Ovis aries: one gene and its partners. The protein of the gene in region 5 purifies or fractionates together with the protein of the main gene of each other region. This does not show direct contact. Links are inferred from orthologs where the notes say so. Each region holds a gene or a part of one and is shown on either strand. Other genes may lie near its edges. The genes, in order: PPP1CA, PPP1CB, RPA1, PPP1CC and PPP1R12A.

Region 1 (4,007 bases), on a different chromosome or scaffold from region 5:
TCAAAGAGGACAGGTTGCAGGGCATCGCACCATACCCCTCTGGTACCCTCTCCTCTTGTGGGGTGGGGGTGGGGCACAGGCCCAGAGGGGCAGAAAGGCCAGGCCCCCTACCGGAGACCCAGGCCCAGCCCCTGTCCCAAGGGGCCCAGCTTACCTCCCTGCTGCACCTCACCTCCTCCTCTCACTTCCTCCTCAGCCACAGCTTCAGCAACCCGCTGAGGGCCCCTCCCAAGTGCGTGGTGGGGGGGGTTACCCCTTCCTCTCCAGGGCTCTTCCGGCCTGCCCCAGTAGCCCTGGGCCATGGGCTCCTCCCACCACCCCGGTGGGCTAGGTGGGTGCAGGCCTGGGTTCTTGTGCTGGGTGTGATGCAGCCAGGGCCTGCCAGAGGTAGAGAGGCCACGCTGCCTCCAGATGTGAGGTCACAGGCAAATAAAACACTCAATTCAGGGTTCCAGTGAGTATTACACTTTATTTAACGTGACTTCTTTTGTTAACGCTTTCGACAAGTCAAACAGTAAGTCATTACTGCGCTACTCAAAACACAACGACGAGACATTAAAAAATAGTAGTAATGGTGTAGCATGCGCCACGGGCAGGGGGACCAAAATGAGCTCGGCGTTCAGCGACAGGTGTCTGGGTATGGTCAGCCGCCCGCAGGCCACAGGGACCCTAGAGGTGAGAGCTCCTCCGTCAGTCTGAAGCCAACCCTTGCTATCTTTGAACCTGTTTCCTTTCCTGCACTTCGTGGATTTAATCTGCACTCTCTGGGGAGACCCAATGAGATATCAATGAGGTCACACCACCTTCTAGCCCGGGACAGAAATGGGAAGGACTATTGGGCCCTTGAAAGAGAAAAACAACTCCACACTACTTCCGGCCGCACATCCTCGGTGCAAGGGTGGGTAACTCCTCAAGGGCGGAACTAGAGTCGACCTCGCCCCGTGAAGCCCCGCCCCCAGTGTAGGCTCCGCCCCCGCAACCAGGTCAGCCCGAGCCCCGCCTCCCGAGCCGCCGCGGGCCCCGGGCCTGGCGTCCAGTGGAGGCGCTAGAGCGCAGGGGCGGCGGGCGACCGGGCGGGCCGGGGCGGGGCCGGGTGCGGCGGGGCGGGGCTGCCGGCAGAGGAGGCGGGGCGGCGGGCCGGGGCGGGCCCGGGCGGGCGGAAGGAGCACCAGGCCGGAAGGAGGCCGCGGGAGGGCGGGAGGCAGGATAGGGCCCGGAGGTGCTGGGCCAGAGCGGCGGCGCCGCCATGTCCGACAGCGAGAAGCTCAACCTGGACTCTATAATCGGACGCCTGCTGGAAGGTTGGCCGGGGAGGCGAGGGAGGTGGGCGCCCGCCGCGCCCTGGTCCCCTGCCCGGCCCGGAAGTGGCGCGCGGGTGGACCTGCCCCTCCCAGGGCCAGCTTTGACTGGGCGGGGACGGGCCGCGAGGTCCCGTGGCCACATCGTGCCCCCACCCCACCCCAGTCGTGGCGCGCTGGGAGGTCTGGGGTTGCTCCCCTTGCCAGAGCAGAACCGGGGTTGGCGGTGGCGGGGGTGGGCGCGCAAGGATTGGCCTGGGCTCTTGGCTGAGGGAGAAACCTGAGAAGCCTAGTCCCCCAGGAAGGGGTCCTGTGCTGAGGTTTTGGATGGCCTCTGCGCACAGCAGTCCCCTCGCGAGCGCCTTGAGGGCAGTTGGGGGTCCCAGGAGGCTCAGCAGCAACAGCTGCCCCTGGGCAAGGCGGGGCCGGGAGGCCCAGGAGCCCCTACCCAGAAGTGCCTTTGGGGCCACCAGTGACATTCACCCTCTTCTTGCCTGAGGAACCAGGGTCCTGACGCCTCTTTCCGCCCCCAGTGCAGGGCTCCAGGCCTGGAAAGAATGTACAGCTGACGGAGAACGAGATCCGTGGTCTGTGCCTCAAATCCCGGGAGATTTTCCTGAGCCAGCCCATTCTTCTGGAGCTGGAGGCACCCCTCAAGATCTGCGGTGAGCCCCCAGCCCAGGTCCCCGTGGCCTCCTGAAAGCGGCCTTGCCCCCCACCCCTCCCAAGTTTCTCCTCCCTTGGGCCCAACCCTGACCCTGGGTTCACGTTTAGGCTGCCCTAGTGCTGACCTGGTTCCCTGGGTCACAGGTGACATTCACGGCCAGTACTATGACCTTCTGCGGCTGTTTGAGTACGGCGGCTTCCCTCCAGAAAGTAACTACCTGTTCCTGGGGGACTACGTGGACAGGGGCAAGCAGTCTTTGGAGACCATCTGCCTGCTGCTGGCCTATAAGATCAAGTACCCGGAGAACTTCTTCCTGCTCCGTGGGAACCACGAGTGTGCCAGTATCAACCGCATCTACGGCTTCTATGATGAGTGTGAGTGGGCAGAGCATCTGGGCTGCCCTGGTCCTAAAGGGCTCTCCTTGCCATTCAGTGCGACCCTCGTGTTGACCTGGTGGCTGGGGTGTCAGCGTCTGACAAACACCTGCTAAGCTGAGTGCCGTGAAGGTAGCACCAGCCCATGCCACCCTCCCCGACCCTCCTAGAGCAGATCCTGGCACTCAGGAGGGACCTAGCCAGTGGCTGCTGGCTGAAGGGCTGCCAGGATTCTAAGGCAGGGCCTCACCTGCTGACACTCCCCTCCAGCGCATCCGATACTTAAGCACTTAGGATGCCTGTTGGGACTGGACTCTGTTAGACAGAAGCCAAGATGAACCAGACCCTGTCTCGACCTGGCCCTGCTCTTGTGCTGGGGGTGGATGCCAACCTTGAGGTCGTGCCAGAAGTGGAACTCTGGGGTTCCCGTGGACTTGGCTGCTTTAGAATTCTGTCTGGGAGGCAGTGGGGTAGTAGGGGTAGGGGGCGGGGGTTCGGTTTCCTTTTTTGCCTTCCATTCTCTCCTCCTAGCTGTGTCTGAACAACACACAATGTGTCCTGGAAGGCCTGGAGACCTGGGCTGAGGGTGGAGCAGAGGCCCTCTGGTGAGCTGTCTCCTTCCCCCTGGGCAGGCAAGAGACGCTACAACATCAAACTGTGGAAGACCTTCACTGATTGCTTCAACTGCCTGCCCATCGCTGCCATCGTGGACGAGAAGATCTTCTGTTGCCATGGAGGTGAGCACAGCTCTGGGCATGTGAATTCTTGAGCAGGATGAGCCTCCCAGGGTGAGCACCCCTGGGGACCTTGGGACAGAAGCGTCGGCTGGAAGATGTGTTCCCAGTCGCCAGGAACAGCTCTCCCTGGAGTCCTGGTATGGGTAGTACTTCTTCCATGACGTGCCCCCGCACTGCAGCATTAGGCTGCACCCACTGTTGTGTCATGGCCTCGCCTTCTTGCATGGAGTTTGCTTGTCCCCTTTCTCCAGGGCTTCCCTAGTGGCTCAGATGGTAAAGAATCTGCCTGCAATGCGGGAGACCCAGGTTTGATCCCTGGGTTGGGACGATCCCCTGAAGAAAGGAATGGCTACTCGCTCCAGCTTTCTTGCCTGGACAGTCCATGGGGTTGCAAAGAGTCGGACACGACTGAGCGAAAACACTTTCTCCAGGGAGCTCTGTGCTCCTTGAAGGGACAGGGACTTGGAAGAGGCAGAAGGTGATGAGTTCTGCCTTTGTAGGCTCCCAGGAATCCTGGAGAGGTGGGGGGCAGAGGCTGATTGGCAAAGGCTGCCTGGAGGAGGTGACCTGCCCCCTGTGCCCTCCAGGCCTGTCCCCAGACCTACAGTCCATGGAGCAGATCCGGCGCATCATGCGGCCCACAGATGTGCCTGACCAGGGCCTGCTCTGTGACCTGCTGTGGTCTGACCCTGACAAGGACGTGCAGGGCTGGGGCGAGAATGACCGCGGCGTCTCCTTTACCTTTGGAGCTGAGGTGGTGGCCAAGTTCCTGCACAAGCATGACCTGGACCTCATCTGCCGGGCACACCAGGTGGGCTGGCAGCCCCCATCTGGGTTAGAGCAGGGCTGGCAGCCAGCTCCTGCTGAACTAACCGCCTCCACCCTCGTCCAGGTAGTAGAAGACGGCTACGAGTTCTTTGCCAAGCGGCAG
Region 2 (2,616 bases), about 80 Mb from region 5:
AAATCTAAGTCATGTCAGTCATTCTTGGTGGCATGTGTTTAAATTGGAAATTGGTGTATGAATCCTTAGGTAGTGGCTTTGCTACTAAAAGAATGTGAATTTAGATTTTGTTTTCTTTTGCAAGATGAATGGATGGGACAGGCGTTGAGTAGAGTTTATGAACTCTGATGAAAATGATGTAGAATATTTGCCTAGAAAAACCTTCCAAATAATCTTAAAGTATCTGTTTGTGAATATAGAAACATTTACATTTAAGAAAGAGACCAGCTTTAGCATGCTACTTAATCATTCTTGTTCATGGACTAAAATAACTTTATTTTTTTGTCCTTGACACCCTGTATTTCTCTTAAAAAATGTAACAGAGGTTTCCATTACTATCAGCTAATACAATTGAATGCTAAATGTTTGATTTCTCGTTCAGATTTAAATGTAGTAACCAGGCCATATCCTTCAACAAATAGTTTGTATTTTTGTTGGTGTGTTTTTTTTGGTTTTTGGTTTTTTTTTGTTTTTTTTTTTTTTTTGATATAACCAAAGTGTTGCTGGGGATGTGGAGAAGTTGGAACCTTATATATTGATAGTGGGAATGGAAAATGGTGCAGCCACTTTGGAAAATAGTTTGTCAGTTCCTGAAAAAGTTAAATATAAAGTTTCTATATGACCCAGCATTTCCACTCCTAGGTATATACCTGAAAGAACTGAAAATAGTACTCAAATACATGTATATATACATATTAATAGGAACATTATTTATAATACCCAAAGGTAGAAACAACCCAAATGTTCATCAGCTAAAGAATGAATAAACAAAATGTGGAGTATCCAAAATGTGGCATATTGTTTGGCAATTAAAAGTAATAAAGTACTCATACATGCTACATCAAAATCATTATCTCAGTGAAAGAAGCCAGTCACAATAGCACAAATTGTCTGGTTTCATTTATTTAAAATAGCCAGAAAAGACAGTTCAATAGAGGAAAGTAAAGTAGTGATTGCTTAGAGTTGAAGGGGGTTAGGGCAGTCAATAATGGAAATAGAGTGAGTGAGTGCTTTTGGGAACAAGGTTTCTTCCTGGAGTGACAAACATGTTCTAATGTTAGATTATACCAGTGGTTTCATAGTTGTAAATATGTTAAAAAGTGTTGTCTTTCTACAGTTTAAATGGTGACCTTTATGATACATAATATATATAGCTAAGTGAAAGATCTGTATACACATAGTAAATGAAGATTGAAGAATTTGTGACTAATTACCCTCTAAATAAATAGGAGAATTATGATGAGAACCTGGATCTTTTGACTCTTAGTGCTTTTTTCTCATCACAGAGATACACTAGTTTGAAAATTTTTATACTTAGATCTAAGAATTGAATAGTTGATGGGTTTTGTGTACTTGAGCTTTTGTCACTAAATTGTCAATGGAATGACCAATAATAGTGATATTCAGACATTTGTACTTTTTATTTATTTTTTGATACTTTTTAAATGTGAGAAATGACTGTAGAACTTTGCTATTTTTTCCTACAATTTTACAATTGATGTCATTTATTGAGAAGCCTACTATGTAACAATAATTTCCTTAAACTTATTGTACTTGAAAAAGGTAACATTGTTATTAAATTATTTACTTTAAGATATTGAAACCGTCTGAAAAGAAAGCTAAGTACCAATATGGTGGACTGAATTCAGGACGTCCTGTCACTCCACCTCGAACAGCTAATCCACCGAAGAAAAGGTGAAGAAAGGAACTCTGTAAAGAAACCATCCGATTTGTTAAGGACATACTTCATAATCTTTAAGTGTGCACTGTAAAACCATCCAGCCATTTGACACCCTTTATGATGTCACACCTTTAACTTAAGGAGACGGGTAAAGGATCTTAAATTTTTTTCTAATAGAAAGATGTGCTACACTGTATTGTAATAAGTATACTCTGTTATAATATTCAACAAAGTTAAATCCAAATTCAGAATTACCCATTAAAGTTACATCTTCACGTACCACAGTTTTTAAAGCTGAAAAGCATCCCAGTTAAACTAGATGTGATAGTTAAACCAGACGAAAGCATGATGATCCATCTGTGTAATGTGGTTTTAGTGTTGCTTGGTTGTTTAATTATTTTGGGCTTGTTTTGTTTCTGTTTGTTTGTTTTTGCTGAAATAATGGCAAATTCTTTAAATTTTTTCCCCAAACATTTAAAAAAGTGCAATGTGGGAAGATTTTTGAAGACATTCATCAACTATTAATTTTCCATTGCTTATTTACTTATGTACCTGTTTGATCTTACTAAGAAAACTTATGCCTCATTACAGTAAAAAGGAATTTAGAGATATTTTTTAAAATATGCAAACTGTCCAATCGAGTGATTTAATCAGTTTGGGCAACTGTTACAGCTGATAGTGAATATTTTGCTTCATACAGAAATGGCCACTGATTTGAGTTTGTGCACTCTAATTTTAACTTATTGATGCTCTATTGTGCAGTAGCATTTCATTTAAGATAAGGCTCATTTAGTATACCCAACTAGTTGGTAATGTGATTATGTGGTACCTTGGCTTTAGGTTTTAATTCGCACGAAACACCTTTTTGGCATGCTTAACTTTCTGGTAACACCCTC
Region 3 (4,257 bases), on a different chromosome or scaffold from region 5:
TTACTGAAGAAGTGCAGATGAGTGAAGAAAGAGATCATTCAAAGTCTCTGCTGTAGAAATGGTGACCTGAATGGACTTGGGGAGCAAAGACCACTTCTGAAGTACGTAGGATTTCCACTCATCCACGGGCAGATCCATGCTACTTCAGACCTAAAAAATGAATAAGAAAACAAGGAATTCAGTTTTCTACAAATGCATAATTCCAGAAAATCGATTTCATTCAAGCATGCACCACGAGGCCACAAAATCAGATCTTGTAGTCTCTTCCTACAGTTGTTTACATGCCAGGGAAGGATGTATCCTCTCCCGCACCAATTCACATCCCTTCATTCAGAAATTATTTACTGAAAACTGACTTTGTTCCTGGCATCGTACTAGGGAACGGTTATACAATGATGAATCAGATTTCTTACATAGTTCAGTTTTTTCTTTTCAATCCCGAGGTCCCTTCTTTAGTTCAAGCCCTCACCATTTCCTGTCTGGCATTCTTTCTCGAGTGTCATAATTAGTCTTCAGGCCCTCAGACTATCCCTCCCTGTTCCCCCTTCCCAATTTAGTCCATCCTCCATACTGAGACCGATGTCAATTCTCTGCCTTAAATTCACTGATGCTCCTCCTAGAACTTGGGGAAGCCCAGTACAAACCCTTTATCATTTGACCCCTGACCTACTTTCTGATCAAGTCTCGCTTTTTCCTCTATACCCTACTATCCGAATTTGCACACATCCTTCAAGACTCAGTTCAAATGGTTCCTACTCCGAGAAGCCTTCCCTGATTTTGGCACCTGTGACGACAGGCGCACACTTTGCGTCTCTCCTGGGACCCAAACCACGTCTACACTGAGTTAAGGCTACTCACAGCAGAAACTCCCTCGACATACTGTGCTCCCCTCTGGGAGTAGGGACCAGGTCTTATTTACCTTGAGAGACCCCCCCCACTGTGCCCAGTTCAGGGTCTGGCACCTGCGGGAGCTCAGCTCGGTGTTGCTGAAAGAAGCGAGTCACTGCTTCGACTACTTTCAGTAGCAGAATTATCAGGGAACCCCTCGAACACTCCTCTGGGCTAGCAGTCTATGGCTGCCCGCCGAAGGCCGAGCGCGGTACGTTTCCTAGAGCCCGCGGGGAAAGCTCCCGGAACCCCTCCGCCCTGCGCCCTTGGCGGCGCCCGCGTCACGGTTCGCGCGCCCCAGCGCTCGGCGCCCCGCCCCTAGGCCCCCGCCATCCCGCAACAAGGCTCGGGACCCGGACTCCGGTGGGTCACGTGAGCCGCGTGCCGCGCCTCAGCCAATGCGGCGGCTGCTTGGCCCTGAGACTGCCGCGTGCCGTGCGCACGTCGGGAGGCGGGGGCGGTTCACGCAGCTCCTCCGGCCAATCGCCTTGGAGCGCGCGGGTCCCCGGGAGTAAAGCCAGGCTTGTGTTGGGGGAGCCGGAGCGCGGGAGTTGTTGCAGCGGAACCATGGTGGGCCACCTGAGCGAGGGGGCCATTGCGGTGAGGCGACGCCTGCGAGCTGGGCGCGGTCCGGGGCGGCTGTGGGCCCTGGGGCCGTGCGGGTGGAGGAGGGGGAGAGAACACAGGAGCCGGAGTGATAGCGGGGGTTGGGTAGGAACCCCTGGATGACTCCCTAGAATCATCAGTTAACGCATTTTTATCGTCATCTTTTTCAACATGCTCATGTTTTTCCTGCTTCAGGAATTGAAACAAAGTAAACGATTGATCTTCCCCCATCTCTCTCCTGCAGCCACTCTTTCTTCTTCCCTTCCCCCATCCGCAGCGAAACTTTTTGCAAGAGTTGTTAGTTTTCAGTTCTTTTCCTCGCCTCGCATTCCCCTTTAACCGACTCGAATTAGTCACTCTCCTCCCTGATCGCTGTAACCCTGGCTGAAGTCAGCAGTGCCTCCTGGGGTTGTTAAGTCCAGCAGACACTTTGGAGATCTAAATCTGTCAGTTCTCAGCAGCGTTTGACTATCGGGCAAAGCTTTCTTCCGGTAGCATCCTCTTCTAAGACGGGAGAAAATCCGTCTTATTTTCAGCTTGGCTTGTCTTTCCCCGTCTTATTTTCAGATCCTTCTGTAAATTTTTGTTGACTCAAGGCTCAACCCTAGGCCCTCTTCTCCCAAAACAATAAAATTACCGTCTCTGTGTCAGTTGCTCACAAGTTTTTTTTTGTGCAGGGCCAGCTTTACTCTGAAAGACAAACCTCTGTCATCTGTGTACTTGATAATCTCAAAGACATTTTAAATTCAACATGTTCCAAAGAAAATCTAATATCTTCCTAAATTTGGGCCTCTGCTGTCACCTGTCTGGATGCATGGCACCATTATTCATTAAGTTATGCCAGCTAGAAATTGTGGAATCATTCTTCCTTTAAACTCTCACCCTGGCTGTCACCCTACGTAAGTTTGGTCTGTTATGCCTTCACCCATGTCTCTTAAATCCAGCTACTTCTCTCCAGGCACCATTGTTTGTGCCTGGCCTTCTTCCTTTAACCCAGCATAATCTTCCTCCTGCCATTCCCAACACGGCATATTCCTACCTGTTCTTTCCTTTTTTTCAGCTTTTTAAAATGTAAATTGTAAATTCCTGGTATATTTCATACTCCTGCCTTCCGCAGGGGCTTTGAACATTCTTTAACCTGTGCCTACTGCCTGGGTGGTGCTTTTTTAAAAAAATTATTGTCATTAAATTTTTTATTTTGTATTGGAGTGTAGCCAATTAACAACGGGGTGTTCTTCATTCTTCTCCTGTTGACTAACATAATCTTCAAGTCTCCACTCAGTTACTTCCTCAAAGAACTCTTCCTTGACTCAGTTTGCTAGGCTTAAGTCCTTTTATTTTCCGACCCTAATTCCTGCTTGTTCACCTATTATCTGTGATTTCAGGCAAGATATTAAACTTTGTCTTTCCTCTTCTGTCACAGGCTAATCATACCTAGTACCTGTTGCCTGTGATTAGTGGAGGGATTAAATGAGCTATTAATTTAAAGTGCTTAGTCCATGTCTGATACATAATATATGTGCATTACTTGTTACCTGTTATTAACAGTTGCAGATATGATTTTACATTAAATATTGTTCATTTCATTAATGTCAGTTCCTTTCTCTCACCCCCCCGACTGGATTGTAAATGCTCTGAAGCCTGAAATCTTGTCTGATTTTTTTTTTTGCCCAACACAGTCTCCCCGATTCCTGGAGCAGTGCTAGCAGGTATTAGGTGCCCAATAAATGTTTACTACTTGCGTGTGAGGCAGTGAAAAGAAAGGGACAGAGCTGGATGGAGAGGCACAGTTGGCAAAGCGGAGTGAATATTTTATTTTATTTTTTATTTTTTTTGGCAAAGCGGAGTGAATATTTTAATACATTAAAAATAATTAACCTTTAGAAGTGATTGCAAACTGTAGTCCTTGTCTCCTTTATAGCTGCAACCTTGCATCTTTAAGACAAATTAGGAGTTCTTTACTTTTAAATTAAAACAGTGACTAAGGTATTATTTAAATAATTTGCTGAGTTTTTGTCACATTCAAAATTGTAGTATTACTTAGATCTTGTTCATAAATGACAATGAAAATTTATGTGTGTGTTTTGGTAGAGAACCATTGTCAAATTTCTCATCTAAAGCAAGTAATATTTTAGTTCAAAAGACATAGACCCCCCCCCCCACAAAGGGCAAGCAACTAACGCACACAAATAGTAGGGACATTTTCAGCAAGAGCTAACATAAGAGATTATTCATGGAACTATTGTGGTAAATAGAACAAATAGTATTTCTGTCTTAAGTAATTAGGTAATACAAAGAGAGGGGAAGGGAACTAATATTTTTTATCATTTCCAATGTGCCAGATATTTCATTATAGTCAGTACTTACAGTAACCCTGTAAGGTAGATTTTTATCATTAACCCCATCTTACAGACGAAGAAATTAAAATACAGAGAATTAGTTTGTGCACGAGCTGAGGATTTGAACACATACTTTTGAGCATTACCTTCTGTTGCTTTGTATTTTTTTTCCTTACAGTTTTATGGAGATGTAATTGATACCGCACTGTGTACGTTTAAAGTGTACGGCATAATGATCTGACTCACATCGTGAAACTGTTACCACAATCAGTTTAGTGAACACCTGTCACCACACACACATGCAAAAGGAAAAATAGTATTTTTTTCCTTGCCATGAGGGCTCTTAGGACTTACTCTCTGAACAACTTTCATATTTAGCATCGTTAATTATATTAATCCTATTGTATATTACATCGAGCCTGGT
Region 4 (4,130 bases), on a different chromosome or scaffold from region 5:
AAATCTGAAAGTTTAGAGTAGCAAATAACTGCAAAGCTGTAGTGACTAAAACCTAAAGCAAGACGTTTCATTAGATAAGACTTCACTTTTGAATGGTCTTTTTAGTACTATCACTGAGCTACTTCTCAACTAGCTTGTATAGTCCTCCACCTTAGACAATTCTGAAAATGTAAAAAATTCTAAAAAGGTCATAAAACTCACATTCCCTCCATCTTCAGATATACTTAAATCTTAATGAAAATTTTTAGAGGAAAAACTTTGTGAGGCATTAAAAAAAAAAAAATCACAAAACTTATCAACATCTTCTACCCTGGAAAGATATACATATATATCTTCAATAGATCATTTTCAATAGTTTCTCTGCCAATCTAACATTGACGAGAAAAAAAAAAAAAAAACAAACGTTAAGAATGTTGAGCAGCTAGTTTATTCCCGAGGACTGAAAATGCACTGCTGTACTAATTTCAATGAAAAAAAATGAAATGTTAAAAAAACCTGGTTTTCCAGCACAACATAACATGTATAGAAACTATTAAGAAATAATGACTGATCTCACTGTAAATGATCCAGGTTAATCAACGCAAATTCCTTAGCACAATTTAAAAAATAAGATTAAAATTAACAAGATGTTATATGAATATAAAAGTTATGGGCAACCCCACAATTAAGACCTAACTAATCTTAAAATTCTGTTTCTAATCCACAGCTTCCATTTTTTCCAGCTTTCTCAAAGAAATAAAGCCACACATGTCCCTGCATAGACATGCAGAATTTACAATTTTTGAATGAAAAAAATTTAAGTTCTTTTCCTACAGCAAATTGTTTTAATCCGTTTCTGACCCACTGCTGTCTCACATAAACCAAAGAACTATATCAACTAATATTAAAAGTGTGATTCCTCTAATAAACGGCAGATACTGAATGAACAAGGTTTTCACCCACAAATGGCAGTGACATTTCAGGGGCTCATTTAACGAGTTTTTGTTTTGAGACACTATAAAAGGAAAAAAACCTTAACAGAGATTAAGAAAAGATGAAGTTTCATTCTCATGACTTAAAAGATCTGTAAATTCTAACATCAGAGCTGTCCAACTGTTTAGGCTCGACTCCATCTCTGAGCATTTACAGTCCAACAATATTTTAGAATATAAAGGCAAAAATGCAGTTAAAACTCAGCCAAATCTACATTATCCAACACTCAAGAAAAGGATCTGAATTCTTTCAAAGTTAGGAATTAGACGTTATTATTAATAGATGTGCTCTAGAATTCAGGGGTGGTGGGTGATTTTATTTCAGTGTCTCTCCTTAAAATCCGAACTTCATCCCTCTCCCATCCCACATCAATAGAAATCAATCGCAAGACACCTCAGGAGTTTTAGGTCAGTCAAAACTGAAGATTTATTTTAACCTTTGCTCAACCACTGGACACCTTCCTTCACACATAGGGTGACTTGAATGACGTTGAATTCCTGGCTGCCTGGGTTTGAAACTTGACTGTCACTAACTGGTTAAGTGACTACACTTCTCTGGGTCTTAGTCAGGAAAAAAAGGCATCTACCTGGTGTATTACATGAAATCTGTGTAAGGAGCTCCAAAAAATGCCTTACACACAGTAAGCGCTTTAGAAGCATGGCTAATATGATTTTTGCGACACACGCAAAGTACTGGAGACAACTCATTAGAAAAGACCCTGATGCTGGGAAAGACTGAAAGCAGGAGAAGCGGACGAGATGGTTGGGTTGGATGGTATCACCGACTCAACGGACATGAGTTTAAGCAAGCTCCGGGAGATGGTGAAGGACAGGGAAACCTGGCACGCTGAAGTCCATAGGATCGAAAAGTCGGATGCGACTAAAAGACAGCAAAATGCAGTCAGTGAACGCAAAGCGCTTAACAGAGCTTGGCACATTGGAAAGATCCTAACGAAACTGTCATCACTGCCGGTTTCACGATTCAGAGGCAGGTTCAGAAAAGAGCGCGGAGACTTCCCCGGGATAAAGACAACTTAAAAAGAATATCTGGGAGGGTAGAAGAAGACAGGTTCCAACATCTCTCTGAGAATGAACGTTCGTTACCGAGTAACAAGTAACTGGGCCCCCGACCCCAAGCCTCACAAAAAAATAAAAATAAGCAGGCTAGGAAAGAAGCCCTCAAGCTTGGTGAAATCCATATCCGCATCTTATTGCTTTCCAAAAGATTGAGAACCACGAAGTTCGGAAAGAGCAGTCCAGTAGGTTGGACTGGGGCCCCCAATATTCTCCAAAGATTGGTCCGGAGTGCCGGGCGCACGGGGGTACGTACCGGAAACGTGGGGGTGGGGAGCGGAGTTTTCAAATTTCACGGCCAGGAGAAAGGCTGCACCCTCAAGCAATGAATGAGCGGAGCCAGGAGGGTCCGCAGGTTGGGCCAAGCGCGGAACGCCGGGCAACCTCCCTCCCGCGGCAGTCCCCGGCCCGCGGGCGAACTCGCGGGGCTCACTCGTCTCGGCGCAGCAAGCCCAACAGGCCTCCCAAATCCCCCTCCCCCGCGAGTCTCCGGAGCCGCCCGCCGCCCCCTTCACCTTCCAGCAGCCGTTGGATGATGCTGTCGATGTTGAGTTTATCTATATCCGCCATCGCCTTCCCACCGCCGACCTTCCCGCAGCGGCGCCGCCGCCGGCTCGCGCCCGGGATTCACACCTCCTTTCCCACGCCACGGGCACAGAGATGGTGGTGGTGGCGGCGGTGGCAGAAGCCGCGGTGGGTTCCCCCCAACCGCCCCGCTCCCTGCTTCCTCCTTCTCTCCCCACTGGAACCACGAGAAGAACAAAATGGCCGCCGACTCCTTAGCCAGCCTCGGGCGGCGCACGAATGCGCGCGGGGGAGTGCAGCGGTCCGGCCGGGACTTCTTTGTGGGCCATAGGGCACCCGGGAGGGGGCGGGGCCAGGGAGATTGAAGGAGGCGGGGCCAGAACGCGGGAATGGGAAGGAGACGGTTGAGCGTAAATGCGCTCGCGCGCGGAATCCTTCCGCCAAACGGGCCGAGCAAATAGGCCCCCTGGCGGGAGCGTGAGTTGCAAAGTTGAACGCGGGAGTTGGGGATGGGGGAGAAGATGCATCTGTGCACTCGAGGGTTGCGGGCTCCGCAGGACACTGTTCACTGCGGCCAAGTGTTTGCAGACCTGGCCATGTGAAAAGCCCACGGAGGGAATTTGGGTGTCCTGGAATTTCCCCTTAAGATAAATCTGTGGTAGAGGTGAACAGTGAAATAGGTTGACTCTTTTTGGCTTCAAATTTGCTAGAATTTAGGGGGGAGGGAAAGATACATTTGATGGTTAATTTAAAAAGTCCTCTCCCAGATAAATAAAAATGTTAGGTTATTCTTTCTGAGTGGTGGAAATATGGGTATTTGTATGCACATTTTTGTGCACTCTGTAACTTACATTTGGGGAAAAAAATTCTTTTTAATCTACCCTCAAAAAAATTTCATCATCTCTCTCTGGATTATCTTTCTTGAACTCGCGAAGTTATATAATCATCGGAACGGTTTACCCTGATTCCGGCCAGAGCGAAGATGAGCGAGCGTGTGCAGCAGATAAAGGAGAATTTGCAGGTTTGCGGTCGGGTCCCCACTTCTGCAGATACCCCTGAAAACTTTGGTCAATTTCCATCGGCTTCTCAGTCTCCACATATAATCTCTCTCCAGGAGATCCCTCCAAAATGTGCCACCTCCGGGGGCTGCGTGTCGTCTTAGCTGGGTTTGAAAGTGCAGTTACACTCAGCAAACGCATCTGCTCTTTTGGATCCTGACCTTTTCATTTAACTGCTTTTTTCCTGCAGCGCTTTACAGTTTGCAAAGCCGTTTCCCTCCCGCCAGAGAAATTAATTTTGTCTCTCAAGGCACACAAAATGCACGAATTCCCAGCCCGAAATATCGAGATCATTGTGCCACCCGGGCATCCAGTCTCAAAACCGGTGTTCCCCCCGGGGCCCAAAAGTGGTGGGGCCCAGGCTCCTTCCACATGGACCCGAGGCCTCCCTGCGGCTGGCTTGGAGGCGTTAAGGTTCAGAGATCCCACCTGCTTGGCGCAGTTGCTCACTCAGCTTTCCCCAGTCACCAACTTACCCTCCCGTGCTGTAACTCTGTTCGCA
Region 5 (3,515 bases):
TCAGGAAGCTGAAAAAACAATAGGGAGGAGTCGTTCCACCCGAACCAGAGAACAAGAAAATGAAGAAAAAGAGGAAAAAGAGAAACAGGATAAAGAAAAGCAGGAAGAAAAGAAGGAATCAGAAACATCTAGAGAAGATGAATATAAACAAAAGTACTCCAGAACATATGATGAGGTAATAGTATACCAGCAACACAACTAGGTCCTATGGCGTGGGTAGTTCTTGTGATTCTCAAAATGCAAGAGGTTTATTTATTAACAAACCACATGCAAATTGCTCATAAGGATTTTAACTGGAAGTCTTAATTATCTTGACATGAGTAGAACATTACTTTTTCTTTAAAATGAACTTAAATATTTTATGTTTTTATCTGTGTTTAATATTTCAAATGGGTGTTAATTCTTACATTTCACAGACTTATCAACGCTACAGACCAGTATCAACTTCAAGTTCAACCACTCCCTCCTCTTTACTTTCCACAATGAGCAGTTCACTTTATGCTTCAAGTCAGTTAAACAGGCCAAACAGTCTTGTAGGTATAACTTCTGCTTACTCCAGAGGATTAACAAAGGAAAATGAAAGAGGTAAGAACGAAAATTTGAAAGTACTTTGTTTCCTTCAGATAATTCTTTGAGTTGGTCTTTCCTAATTAATATAGTTTAACAGAAAAGAACCAACATCCTAAACTGGGACTCATTCTACCTAACCAGAAAGAATATGATGGTTGAGAATGAGAAAAGTAGAAAATAAAAACAGAAAATTGTGTGATCTATCATTGATACGTGTATCTTTATTGCCGAAGACTTAAAAAATCTTTATGTAGATCAACATAGAAAAGTTGGTATAGAAAAACTAGTGGGGTGATTATTTCTAAGAACAGTTTATTAATGTTTCAAGTCATTTCTTGCATATTATGTAGGTCACATCTTTTAACTGTTTGTTGTGAAATTGTTTTAAACAAAAATGATTTAACATATATATATAAAGTCCTTGCCAAAAAAATTATTTCTATGCTTATTTCTTGAAAAATAGGTTTCTTTTTCAGCTGTATATTGGCATGTTGATGCTATTAGCATTTCCTTTTATTGCATATAAACTTCGTATATAAACTCTAATTAACTCCTACTTTAAGAAATGGGTGCTAAATGTATTCCAACTGTAGGTATTTTATATTTTAAAAGGAAAGTCAAGTAGTATTAATCATGATAATATCAGTAGTCCTATAGGAGTAAGCTTCAGAAAATTAAATTTTTTTCAACTGCAGGCTGGCTCTTCTTTTGTTGGTCATTAAATATTTCAGTTCTTTAAACCTCTTGAGTGTGGGGCCTGTATAATGATTATAAAAATTTTGAGCCAACATTTAAATTAGGGATATTTGCATAAAAGTTCAAGTTTCTGTCTTCTTTTGAAAAGTTGGAAGATATGGCAACACTGGATCTGAATTCTCACATCAACAATTGATTAGAGCTGAAAAATAGCAGCACGCCTCCCGCCCCTGCCCTGCCAACTCTTATATGACCTGGATGACCACTGTTGATTTTGGAGTTTGAGGCCTTTGCACTAAACTAATTCTAAAAAACATTAAACCGCTCTTAATACTAGAATTTTGGAGTTTCTTTTGCTGCTTTTTCTTCACAGAAGGAGACAAGGAGCCTTCTAATGACACAGGAGCCTTTTTTTTAGCATTACTTTGCTCCATATGTCTGCTTTTTAAAGCATATTCAGAGGTTCTAATATTCTTCTAGTATGTAAGTCTCAGGATATTTTAACTATCCCAGGAAGGGAACAAATTTGAAGACTTTACATTGATTTGTTTTTAATAAAAGATAATTTTTTCCCAAGGGGGGAGAAAGGTTTGCTCTGAGATACTAAAAGAAAATTCAGTGACTGGTGCATTGATTCTGCCGCTGCATGAGGACTGGGAATGGCAGAAGTGGAAACTGATAGGTGTGTGTGCCTACTAGCCGCTCCATTGTTACAGACTGTTTGGGCATGAGAACTGTTTTCCTGGCAGACACTAATAACTAGGGCCCCATTCTCTTCATAGGATTCATTTATTTTCTCTTCAGTAAATATTATTAAATGTGTCTTTTAAGCAAAATGTTTGTTTTAAGCACTAGAAAAATGAAGTAATTAAAATTCTTGATTTTCAAGAGTGTGTCCAGTGGGAGACACAGACATGTTTAAACCAGGTGTTACAGGAGCACTGAGGGGGCAAAAATTATTTCTGATTAGAGAACTTTAGAAACTTTCACAGAGGTTGACTTAGAATTGTTTTCATATTTACTTTGCAAATACTTTCAAGATGCATTGCTGCCATATGATTGATTTTAATCCTTAACAGAGGGAGAAAAGAAAGAAGAAGAAAAAGAGGGGGAAGATAAATCACAACCTAAATCAATCAGAGAACGAAGGCGACCAAGAGAGAAGAGAAGATCTACAGGAGTTTCGTTTTGGACACAAGATGTGAGAACCTATTAAAATATACCTACTTGATATATGCTTTATCTTTCTAGGAATGTACAATAATGATTTCTTATATGCCTCAGATTATGTATTCTTCGGGTCACCACTATGTGTTTGAGCTAGTTATTTAAATGAAAAGAGTTTTTCTTTTTAAGAATAAACAACTACTCAGATTTCTGACATTACTTATAAGCAAGAGTACTGTCTCAGTATTGGAATAAAAAAATAATGGCTGCAATCTTATAAGTTTTAATTTTTTCTTCATCATCTCTATTTGCCTGACGTTGCTTTTCATTTGCAGGAGAAAGAAGAACTATGGGATAACACAGTTAATGTGAAATTTATCCTATTTCGATACAACATGTACCTCAGAAAGGCAAAATTGATTTAGTTTTCGGGGATTGTTTTTTTGTAGAAACGTTTAAACATGAAGTATATCATCCCACCCCAGATATTCATTCTTAAGTTAAATCTCTACCACTTTCCCAACTCCCAATTATTTATATTTGAAGAAAATTTTAGTAATACTATATATGTAAAAATTTCAGTATGAATTTTCAAGAGATAAGGACTCCTTTTTAAAATATTAAATTTTTATTTTTTAAAAGTAACCATAAATATTATCTTTTAATGAGTGATCATAATACCATGATCATGTTTATTTTAAATAAATTGACAATAAATCCTTAATATTGAATAGACAGTCAGTTTTAATGTCCTCCTGACCCATATTGCCTGGAGGGACCTAATTGTCCACCTGCCCTCTTGGGCATATCATCTGTCCATTTACGTAGGCCTGTGGTGGTGGTTTAGTCGCTAAGTTGTGTCCAACTCTTGTGACTCCATGGACTGTGGCCTGCCAGGCTCCTCTGTTCATGGGATTCTCCAGGCAGGAATACTGGGGTGGGTTGCCATTTCCTTCTCCAGGGGATCCTCCCAACCCAGGGATTGAACCCCAGTCTCCTTCATTGCAGACAGATTCTTTACCAATTAGGCTTCCCTGGTGGCTCAGAGGTTAAAGCATCTGCCTGCAATGAAGGAGTCTGGG

Evidence for each region.
Region 1: the proteins of PPP1R12A (region 5) and PPP1CA purify together in Homo sapiens (affinity purification with mass spectrometry; 3 studies listed by BioGRID and IntAct, with this or other methods). This does not show direct contact. The link is inferred for Ovis aries from reciprocal best matches to the Homo sapiens genes PPP1R12A and PPP1CA.
Region 2: the proteins of PPP1R12A (region 5) and PPP1CB purify together in Homo sapiens (affinity purification with mass spectrometry; 6 studies listed by BioGRID and IntAct, with this or other methods). This does not show direct contact. The link is inferred for Ovis aries from reciprocal best matches to the Homo sapiens genes PPP1R12A and PPP1CB.
Region 3: the proteins of PPP1R12A (region 5) and RPA1 fractionate together in Homo sapiens (co-fractionation; 3 studies listed by BioGRID, with this or other methods). This does not show direct contact. The link is inferred for Ovis aries from reciprocal best matches to the Homo sapiens genes PPP1R12A and RPA1.
Region 4: the proteins of PPP1R12A (region 5) and PPP1CC purify together in Homo sapiens (affinity purification with western blotting; 3 studies listed by BioGRID, with this or other methods). This does not show direct contact. The link is inferred for Ovis aries from reciprocal best matches to the Homo sapiens genes PPP1R12A and PPP1CC.

What each region holds. Positions count from the first base shown.
Region 1 is NC_056074.1:41,699,844-41,703,850, reverse strand, and holds the start of PPP1CA (serine/threonine-protein phosphatase PP1-alpha catalytic subunit), read left to right. Parts: upstream 1-1,196; 5' UTR 1,197-1,246; coding exon 1,247-1,301; intron 1,302-1,831; coding exon 1,832-1,963; intron 1,964-2,108; coding exon 2,109-2,339; intron 2,340-2,971; coding exon 2,972-3,076; intron 3,077-3,663; coding exon 3,664-3,887; intron 3,888-3,968; coding exon 3,969-4,007. Other genes in the region: TBC1D10C (carabin), read right to left, coding at 1-25. UniProt on the Homo sapiens protein: Protein phosphatase that associates with over 200 regulatory proteins to form highly specific holoenzymes which dephosphorylate hundreds of biological targets.
Region 2 is NC_056056.1:35,718,982-35,721,597, forward strand, and holds part of PPP1CB (serine/threonine-protein phosphatase PP1-beta catalytic subunit), read left to right. Parts: intron 1-1,633; coding exon 1,634-1,738; 3' UTR 1,739-2,616. UniProt on the Homo sapiens protein: Protein phosphatase that associates with over 200 regulatory proteins to form highly specific holoenzymes which dephosphorylate hundreds of biological targets.
Region 3 is NC_056064.1:22,789,259-22,793,515, forward strand, and holds the start of RPA1 (replication protein A 70 kDa DNA-binding subunit), read left to right. Parts: upstream 1-1,455; coding exon 1,456-1,488; intron 1,489-4,257. Other genes in the region: SMYD4 (SET and MYND domain-containing protein 4), read right to left, coding at 5-138. UniProt on the Homo sapiens protein: As part of the heterotrimeric replication protein A complex (RPA/RP-A), binds and stabilizes single-stranded DNA intermediates that form during DNA replication or upon DNA stress.
Region 4 is NC_056070.1:54,611,183-54,615,312, forward strand, and holds the start of PPP1CC (serine/threonine-protein phosphatase PP1-gamma catalytic subunit), read right to left. Parts: upstream 2,812-4,130; 5' UTR 2,616-2,811; coding exon 2,561-2,615; intron 1-2,560. UniProt on the Homo sapiens protein: Protein phosphatase that associates with over 200 regulatory proteins to form highly specific holoenzymes which dephosphorylate hundreds of biological targets.
Region 5 is NC_056056.1:115,834,162-115,837,676, reverse strand, and holds part of PPP1R12A (protein phosphatase 1 regulatory subunit 12A), read left to right. Parts: coding exon 1-175; intron 176-416; coding exon 417-585; intron 586-2,345; coding exon 2,346-2,467; intron 2,468-3,515. UniProt on the Homo sapiens protein: Key regulator of protein phosphatase 1C (PPP1C). Mediates binding to myosin. As part of the PPP1C complex, involved in dephosphorylation of PLK1. Capable of inhibiting HIF1AN-dependent suppression of HIF1A activity.